2 linked regions of the Callithrix jacchus genome follow. The protein of the gene in region 1 interacts with the protein of each later gene in a pairwise test. Links are inferred from orthologs where the notes say so. Each region holds a gene or a part of one and is shown in the gene's direction. Other genes may lie near its edges. The genes, in order: MRFAP1 and BRK1.

Region 1 (4,085 bases):
TGAATTGTGAGGGAGAATAAGCAGCTTTTTAATCTTAGTAGCCATCTCTTTCAGGAATAGATCGGGGGGCAGGTTGGCCCTCAGCAGTTCCCAGCTTGACTTTACCCTTTGGCTTAGTGATTTTAGGATCCCAAAACTTATTTTCCTTTGACGTAAGTAAGCCCAGAAGTTGGGTTTTCGTAAGGACAACCAAAATATTAAGAACCTGAGAAAAGTCTAAACAAAGCATATACTTTCGTTTCTCTGAATCCTTAATTCTGCTATATTCAAAACTGTGATGTGTCCCTTTAACTGGAAAATAGATGGCACTTATGCGAACTGGGTTTCTGACAAGTAGATTGGTGTTTGGGAATGGGACAACAAGCTAGGAAATTGGCGTCTCTCTCCTCATTCTGTGTTGAGTGGCTGTTAAGGCAAAATTACCACTATGTGCCAAGCTCGGCCCGGGCGTTAGACCCGCAAGAGCCCTGGATCCAGTGGAAGGCGCAGAGGCTGTGGACACTGGACTTGGGTCAGCTGGGGCCTCACGACGGAGCAGCCAGGCTCCACCTTGGGATGTGGGGAGGTCGGCTTGGTGAAGAGACACCCAGGCCCTTCTGTCATCCAAGGAAAGAGGAAAACTACTCTTTAAAAAGGCAGAGAGGGCCAGGCACGACTGCTCATGCCTGTAATCCCTGCACTTTGGGAGGCCGGGAGTGGAAGGGTCACTGGAGGCCAGGAGTTGACGGCTGCAGCGAGCCATGATCCCGCCACTGCACTCCAGCCTGGGCGACAGAGCGAGACCCTTCCTCAAAAAAAATCTTTTAAAATAATAGCAAGTCAACAAAACGGCTGAGGGGGCTTAGGTCGTCCTGCTTGAGGGGAAGGGGCTCTAAGGGACAACCTGGGGTTGCCGCATTATCACGTAGGCCCCTTCTCTTCCGGTGGGGAAAGCCGTTTTTAATTTTTATTTATATTTTATTTTCTATTTTATGTATTTGTATTGAGACAGAGTCTCGCTCTGTTACACACGATGGAGCGCACCAGCGCGATCTGGGCTCACTGCAACCTCAGCCTCCCAAGTAGCTGGGATTACAGGCGTGCAACACCACGCCCGGCCAATTTTTATATTTTTAGGAGAGACGGGGTCTCGCCATGTTGGCCAGGCTGGCCTGGAACTCCTGACCTCAAGAGATCCACCTGCCTCGGAGTCCCAACAGGTGTGAGAGACACCACGCCCGGCAACTGTGGGAAGCCTTTTCTAAAACTGCAAACTCGCGGGCCCGAAACGCCCTCTAGGAGGGGAACACCCGGAAGAAGCCACCTTCCAAAAACAGGGTAGAACCAGGGTGACGCACGGAGGTAACGGGAACACCGGGATGAGCGAGACCGTGCGCGCTCCTGCTCGCGGGTGCCAGAGTGCGCGTCCGTGCGGCCGTGACGGCTCCCCGGGCACCGCCCTTTCTCGACGTGCGCGCGCCCGCAACTCGCCGCCTGACCGTAAAGAGGCTCGGCTGTGTCGTGAAAGGAGCCGCAACGCGCAGAGCGCTGGTTGACGGCCGGGACTCCATTTTGTTCGCCGCTATTCTGCTCGTAAGTCGCTTCTCCGTGGCTTCTCCGAGGAGAAAAGTTGAAAAGGGGTATAAAAGTTTCCAGTGATATTCGGGCTTTCTGTGGCTAAGCATAGCGAGTGTCGGTTTTCTCTCTCCAGCAGACATCGCGACTTGGGTTCCGAGGCAGCGGGAGGAGATGCGGCCCCTGGACATCGTCGAGCTGGCGGAACCGGAGGAGGTGGAGGTGCTGGAGCCCGAGGAGGATTTCGAGCAGTTCCTGCTGCCGGTCATCAACGAGATGCGCGAGGACATCGCGTCGCTGACGCGCGAGCACGGGCGGGCGCACCTGCGGAACCGCAGCAAGCTGTGGGAGATGGACAATATGCTCATCCAGATCAAGACGCAGGTGGAGGCCTCGGAGGAGAGCGCCCTCAACCACCTCCAGAGCCCGGGCGACGCGGCCGAGGCCCGGGCGGCCCGGAGGTGCGAGAAGGCGGAGGAGAAGGCCAAGGAGATCGCGAAGATGGCAGAGATGCTGGTGGAGCTGGTCCGGCGGATAGAGAAGAGCGAGTCGTCGTGAGCGCGGCCGGCGGTGAGTCGGGCACCCGCGCGGGGCCGCGGAGCGGAGGGCGACGGTTCCCGGAGGCCCCGGGGTCCGGGGTGGGCGGGGGAGTAACGGCGCGCGCGGGGCAGGGCGGGGCCGGCCGCGTCTGCGTGTCTGGTTTTCTGCCGGTGGCGGCGTGGGATAATCAGAGTGGCGGGGTTTGGGCGTGATGCGTGTTCAAGGGGAGGGTCGTCAATCTCAGAGTCGCCAAGGAAACGAAAACGGACGGTCCGGCAAGGGGCGGGGCGGAGTTAGAGGGTTTTCGGAGAGGCGGCGTCGTGCACGGGGGCGTTGGTGAGGGTTGGGGGTCGCTGTGCCCGGGATTAACCTCTCGATGATGAATTTCTTCCCATTGTGCTTTTAGGTTTGCAGCCAATGGATTCTGGTCAACTGGTGGAGATTGGCTGACACCCCGGAGAAGCTGAAACCAGAGAGCCTTTTGTTTTCCCTTTTTTCCTCTGTCTACGCTCTGTCTCACTTAACACTACGTTTTCTGCTATGGTCTGTGGTTAATGACCTCAATATGAGTTTTGATTGTTCAGTGTTTTCGTTTGGGAAGTAATTTTGTTTGGAAAATGCTCTCACATGCAGGAATTAGGGCCTAGATTGTAAGCTCTTGCAGTCACATTTGTTCCCGGGCTTTGGTTATTTCTAAATTTTTGAGGTGCTTTGCTCTTTCTTGTGTGACCTGATAGCTCCCTGGAACTTTGGGTCTGTGTGTGGCGCATGAGACTCACAGTTGGAGTTCTCCAGCTCTGGAGGTGCTGAAGGAGTGGAAGACGACTCCATGCAGCAGCTGCTGAGGAAAGGACCAGACTTCGACGGGGAGTGCAGATGGGCCGACCTGGCTGGGACTGGAGAAGAGCTGGAGAACGGATAGTATTGTCTGTATTTGGAGACTTTAATTTCTGTGTGAGACCAAAGGAGGAGAGATGTATTTTGTTCAAAATTTCAGTTTTGTGTGGTACACTATCTGATGTAACCTATCTCAGCTTTATTTGACATGGAACCTAAAATACAGGATGAGATCTTGATATTCTGTACAAGTTGATGTAATACCCTGATGCGTGTTAGGGGACTTGGCATAAAATGAAAGATTTGCAAAGGCCCTTGAGGGGCTGGGGGATGGGAGTGTGGAACGTCTGCATTGGACCCTAAACTGGACTGAAACAGGCGTCGTAAAGGTTCATACGTTGTCCAGCTGTAAGTTCATTTCAGTAGCAGACCTAACAAATATTTGAGGTCAAAACCCTACCATGTTTAAAAAAAAAAAAAAAAAAAAACTTACCATGTTAATAAAAGTATTCAGTTGCTTGAAAAGACAAAAGACCTCAAAGGTTATTAAGAAAAGTTATTCCTTTAAGAATGAAATCTGCTTTCTTCCAGATTGTTCTGTCACATGGAGTGTGAATGTCTTAGGTTTCTGAGGCTCTCAAGCTCTAATCAAAGGGAAGCGTTATCTCTGCCTGCTGTTGGGAACTGGGTGAGGGGAAAGCACACTTGGTTCTTAGTGTAGGAAGTAACCACGTGTAATCCTGTAGTCCAGGCCTGTGCCTTCAGAGAGCCAAAGTACTTTGTTTTCTAGTCCTTGGACTGGGAATATAGCGATTAAAATTGTAGGGTGAGGGGTGATGGGCCACCCTCCTTCCAGAATGAAGCATTTATCCCCCAGCTGCTGCAAGTGTTGCTGACAAGACACCCTTCAGCTGGTTGGCCCTCTGGGCAGTGCCTTTTCAGAGGAGAGCTGCTTTAGCCAAAGTTAATGCCCTTTCTCCTGAGTAACCTACATCTAGTGACTAATGGGCTGGAAATCTCAGGTCTCTGTTTGTCTTACCCAATTTGGGACCATTTTGAGGGACATGGCTTCCGAGCTCCTTGTGGAGTCTGCTGAGGCTTTAGTTAGGACTGCATCACACAGCCCATCTCCTCCCTCTTCCCAGTTTTGCATT
Region 2 (4,567 bases), on another chromosome or scaffold:
GATCTGGAGTTCGAGCCTGGCCTAGCCAACATTGTGAAACACCCTCTCTACAAATAACACAAAAATTAGCCAGGCATGGTGATGTGAGCCTGTAATCCCAACTACACTGGAGGTGGAGGCTGGAGGATAGCTTAAGTGCAGGAGTTCGAGGCTGCAGTGATCCATGATCATGCCATTGCATTCCAGCCTTGATGACAATAAGACCTTGTCTCAAAAAACAACATAAAAACACAAACTTCCTTCTGCAAGGGATTGTGCCAGTTTGCAGTGTGCCCAGCTATTTATGACCATATAAATTTGGACTCTATCCATTAATGGCTGTTGTCGTTAAAGAAAAAGTTATTCATTTGATAAATGTGAGGCAGACATCATGTGTCATTGGAAGGAATTTTATTTTATTTTTATGTATTTTTTTTTGAGACGGAGTTTCGCTCTTGTTACCCAGGCTGGAGTGCGATGGTGCGATCTCGGCTCACGGCAACCTCCACCTCCTGGGTTTAGGCAATTCTCCTGTCTCAGCCTCCTGAGTAGCTGGGATTACAGGCACACGCCACCATGTCCAGCTAATTTTTTGTATTTTTAGTAGAGACGGGTTTTCACAATGTTGACCAGGATGGTCTCGATCTCTTGACCTCGTGATCCACCTGCCTCAGCCTCCCAAAGTGCTGGGATTATAGGCGTGAGCCACCGCGCCCGGCTACTTTTAGGTATTTTATTTTGAGACAGGATGTTGCTCCGTTGCCCAGGCTGGTGTGCAGGGGGGCGATCTCAGCTCACTGTAGTCTCGACTTGCTGGGCTCAAGTGATCCTCCTGTCTCAGCCTCCCGAGTAGCTGGGGCCACAGGTGTGTGCTACCACGTCTGGCTGGGAAGGCATTTTAAAAATGACTTGTATTTAGGCTGGGCATGGTTACTCACACCTGTAATCCCAGCACTGCACTTTGGGAGGCCAAGGCGGGCAAATTACTTGAGGCCAGGAGTTCGAGACCAGCCTGACCAACATGGTGAAACCCTGTCTCTAGTAAAAATGCAAAAAAAAAAAAAAAAATTACGCGGGTGTGGCGGCCTGCACTTGTAATCCCAGCACTTGGGAGGCTGAGGCAGGAAAATCACTTGAACCTAGAGGCGGAGGTTGCATTGCCACTGCACTCTAATTTGGGTGACAGAGCAAGGCTCCGTCTCAAAAAGAAAAAAAAAAGACTTGTATTTAATGTGATTTAGTGCCCATATTACTGCTGACACTGACTGTGCAACCTGAGCCTGGAGCATATGAGGGAGACGGCGAGACCCCACGCGCCCATTTAACGACCGTAACGCGCATGCACTATAATCTCGCCGCTGGAGTCGAGGCTTCTGTTTCTATAGCGTGGGAGCAGAGAGCAAACGCCGGCGAGGGCGTGACGTTGCACGGGAGTATCACAGTGCCGGAGAATTCGTGGGTGCCCAAGAAGATGGGTGTGGGCTGGCGGCGCAGGCGCACTGGAGGCCTATGGGGTCGGGGCGCCTGCGCAGTCGTTTTTCCTCTGGCTGCCGCCATGGCGGGACAAGAGGATCCGGTGCAGAGGGAGATTCACCAGGACTGGGCTAACCGGGAGTACATTGAAATAATCACCAGCAGCATCAAGAAAATCGCAGACTTTCTCAACTCGTTCGGTCAGCGGGGCGGCAAGGGGAGGCGGGGAGGAGGGAGGCCGCTGAGGCTGTTGGGCTGGGGCGCTGGGGAGATGCTTTGAGAGGATTCCCGGAGCCTTCGGCTGTTGCGGGTTTTCACTTCCTCCTTCAGGTCCCAGCTTCCCCCTTCCTCCCTGACCCTCAGGCTCCGCTGGACCGTCTCTGTAGGGTCATCCTGCCCTACGCTGAGCTCATGGCTTCTTGCCATCCCCCTGGACCCATTCTACAAGCCCTTTTCCCGGACGCGTCAGGTAGCGTCATCCTCTCTCCGTGGTTCTTCTAAGTGGTCTCCCTGCCTCCTTTATGCTCTGCTTCCATCCCAGTCCCCACTTTGCATTCAAAGTGCGCACCCGAGACCGTGTCAGTGCTCTGTTTCTAGATTGTTGACGGTTTCCCATCTTTAGGATCAAATCGAAACCCTCTAGCGTCATGCCTTTTAGTTGCACCCTCAACCACTCTCTTGTCCATTCCTTCCTGTCTCCTGTGTCTGCTGCCCTGAGAGGGGTAGGAGATGAGGTCGGAGTGATTCCAGGATCTTGTAGAACCTTGGAAGTCCTCTCTGTATTGCTGGTATATAGCTTATAGTAGGTGTTCTGTCTGCTTCTAGCCTGTTCTCAGAGCTAACACAGATCAGGTCCCTTCAGCAGAAAGACATCTTTACCAGAATCTTTCCTAGGCATGGCCTGCTTGTGACAGTCTTAAATTTTTCCTCTGAACAGCAAGCAAAGTAATCGAGACTCCTATCCCTTCTTCTCCAAGCGTTTATTTAAGAGAACTTGGCACTGATTAGATTTTCTTGTGTAATTACAGGATATAGGGACACATCTAGTGAACTTTTCTTCAACTAGTATACTTTGGAAATATTTTTAATGAATTAATTATTTTCTAGCTAAAGGACTGATGGCCTTAGGAGTATAAAGGTGACAGAGCAAGAGATTGTCAGAAAGCATCAGCTGAGAGAGGCTAGATCTTCATATAAGGTCCTCTCTTAAGGCACTGTGGGAGACACAGAATAAGAACCACTTCCTACATTCAAAGAAGTTATAATCTTGAAGATGAAATAATGACAACTTTAGGACAAAGAAGAGCATCATTTTTGTATTAAAGTATTTTCATGCAGGATATATAGGACTGTAATCCGTGGCTGGGTGCAGTGGCTCATGCCTGTAATCCCAGCACTTTGGGAGGCCAAGGTGGGAGGATTACTTGAGCCCAGGAGTTCAAGACCAGCCTAGGCAACATGGCTAGATTCTATCTCAACAAAAAACAAACAAACAAAAAAAAAATTAGTTGGGCATGGTAGTTCATACCTATTGTCCCAGCTGCTCAGGAGGCTGAGACAGGAGGATCACTTAAGCCCTGGAGGTAGTGAGCCATGTTCTTGACACTGCACTCCAGGCCTTGGCAACAGAGTAAGACCCTGTTAAAAAAAAAAAAAAAAAAAAAATTCTGACTTGGATCCTAGTAATGTGATTTTATTTCTGAGAACAGAATTATACTAGTAAACGTTTATTTTTTTATTTTATTTTATTTTTTTTTTAGAGACAGGGTTTCACCATATTGGCCAGGCCGGTTTCGAACTCCTGACCTCAGGTGATCCACCCGCCTTGGCCTCCCAAAGTGCTGGGATTACACTGTGCTTGGCCACTTGTAAAGTTTTAATTCATTATATTTATCTTTGACATAAGTCCTTGTATATCATACCCATTAAATTTATAGTGGATGTGTTTTGGGACTTATCAGGTTGCCTAAGGAGGGGTGCCACCGGCCCAGGTCGGAAACAGAGCAGGTCAAAAATCCTGTGCTGATCAGTAGTGGGATGGCACCTGTGAATAGCCACTGCACTCCAGCCTAGGCAACATAGTGAGACCCCGTCTCTTAAAAAAAAAAAAAAAAAACAGGATTTTTTTTAAAAGATAGGGTCTCACTCTAGCCCAGGCTGGATTACAGTGGCATGATCTCAGCTCACTGCAACCTCTTCCTCCTGGACTAAAGCGATTCTTGTGCCTCCACCTTCTGAGTACCTGGGATTACAGGTGTGCACCACCATACCTGGATGATTTTTTTGCTTTTTAAAGTAGAGATGGGTTTTGGCCATGTTGTCCAGGTTGATCTCAAACTCCTGAGCTCAAGTGATCTGCCCGCCTTGGCCTCCCAAAATACTGGGATTACAGGTATGAGCCACTGTCCCTGGCCCCCCAACAAATTCTAAACTAAGGAATTAGACATACAGAAGCCTAAGTTTTTGGCTCCAAAAGAAATGATTTCCCTTAGCTTAGATCATTATCCTCCCTTAAAGGGATGATAGTGGGCAAATGTTTGGAGTAATTACTAGGTGGTTTTTTAAGATTTTAGAAAGTGAATTTAGAGAAAATAACAATTAATTACAAGTAAATAAGACAGATTTTTTGAGACAGATTTTCACTCTGTCACGTAGGCTGAAGTGCAGTGGTACAATCTTGGCTTACTGCAACCTCCACCTCCCAGGTTCAAGTGATTTTCTTGCCACAGCCTCCCAAGTAGCTGGAACTACAGGTGTGCACCACCACACCTGGCTAATATTTGTATTTTTAGTAGAGACAGGTTTTGCCATGTTGGCCATGCTGGTCTCGAACTCCTGGCCTCAAGTGATCCACCCCTACTTAGCCTCCCAAAGTGCTGGGATTATAGGCATGAGTCACCATGCCTGGCCAGAGGCATATTTTTTTCAATAAAAGTTATGCTATGCCTACCTCTCCTGCCTCCCCTACCATCTCTGCCACTCATGAGATAGCAAAACCACCCTCTCTTCTTCCTCCTCTTACTCAGCCTACTCAGCAGGAAGACAATGGGGATGAAGACCTTTATGATGATCCACTTCCATTTAATGAATAGTTAATATATTCCTTTTTCTGACT

The links.
Region 2: the proteins of MRFAP1 (region 1) and BRK1 interact in binary tests that used the Homo sapiens proteins (3 or more experiments, as listed by UniProt). The link is inferred for Callithrix jacchus from reciprocal best matches to the Homo sapiens genes MRFAP1 and BRK1.

Annotation. Positions count from the first base shown.
Region 1 is NC_133504.1:186,866,977-186,871,061, forward strand, and holds MRFAP1 (MORF4 family-associated protein 1), read left to right. Parts: upstream 1-1,529; 5' UTR 1,530-1,572; exon of another isoform or gene 1,573-1,690; 5' UTR 1,691-1,728; coding exon 1,729-2,112; 3' UTR 2,113-2,124; intron 2,125-2,500; 3' UTR 2,501-3,463; downstream 3,464-4,085.
Region 2 is NC_133516.1:67,286,650-67,291,216, forward strand, and holds the start of BRK1 (protein BRICK1), read left to right. Parts: upstream 1-1,513; 5' UTR 1,514-1,534; coding exon 1,535-1,652; intron 1,653-4,567. UniProt on the Homo sapiens protein: Involved in regulation of actin and microtubule organization. Part of a WAVE complex that activates the Arp2/3 complex. As component of the WAVE1 complex, required for BDNF-NTRK2 endocytic trafficking and signaling from early endosomes.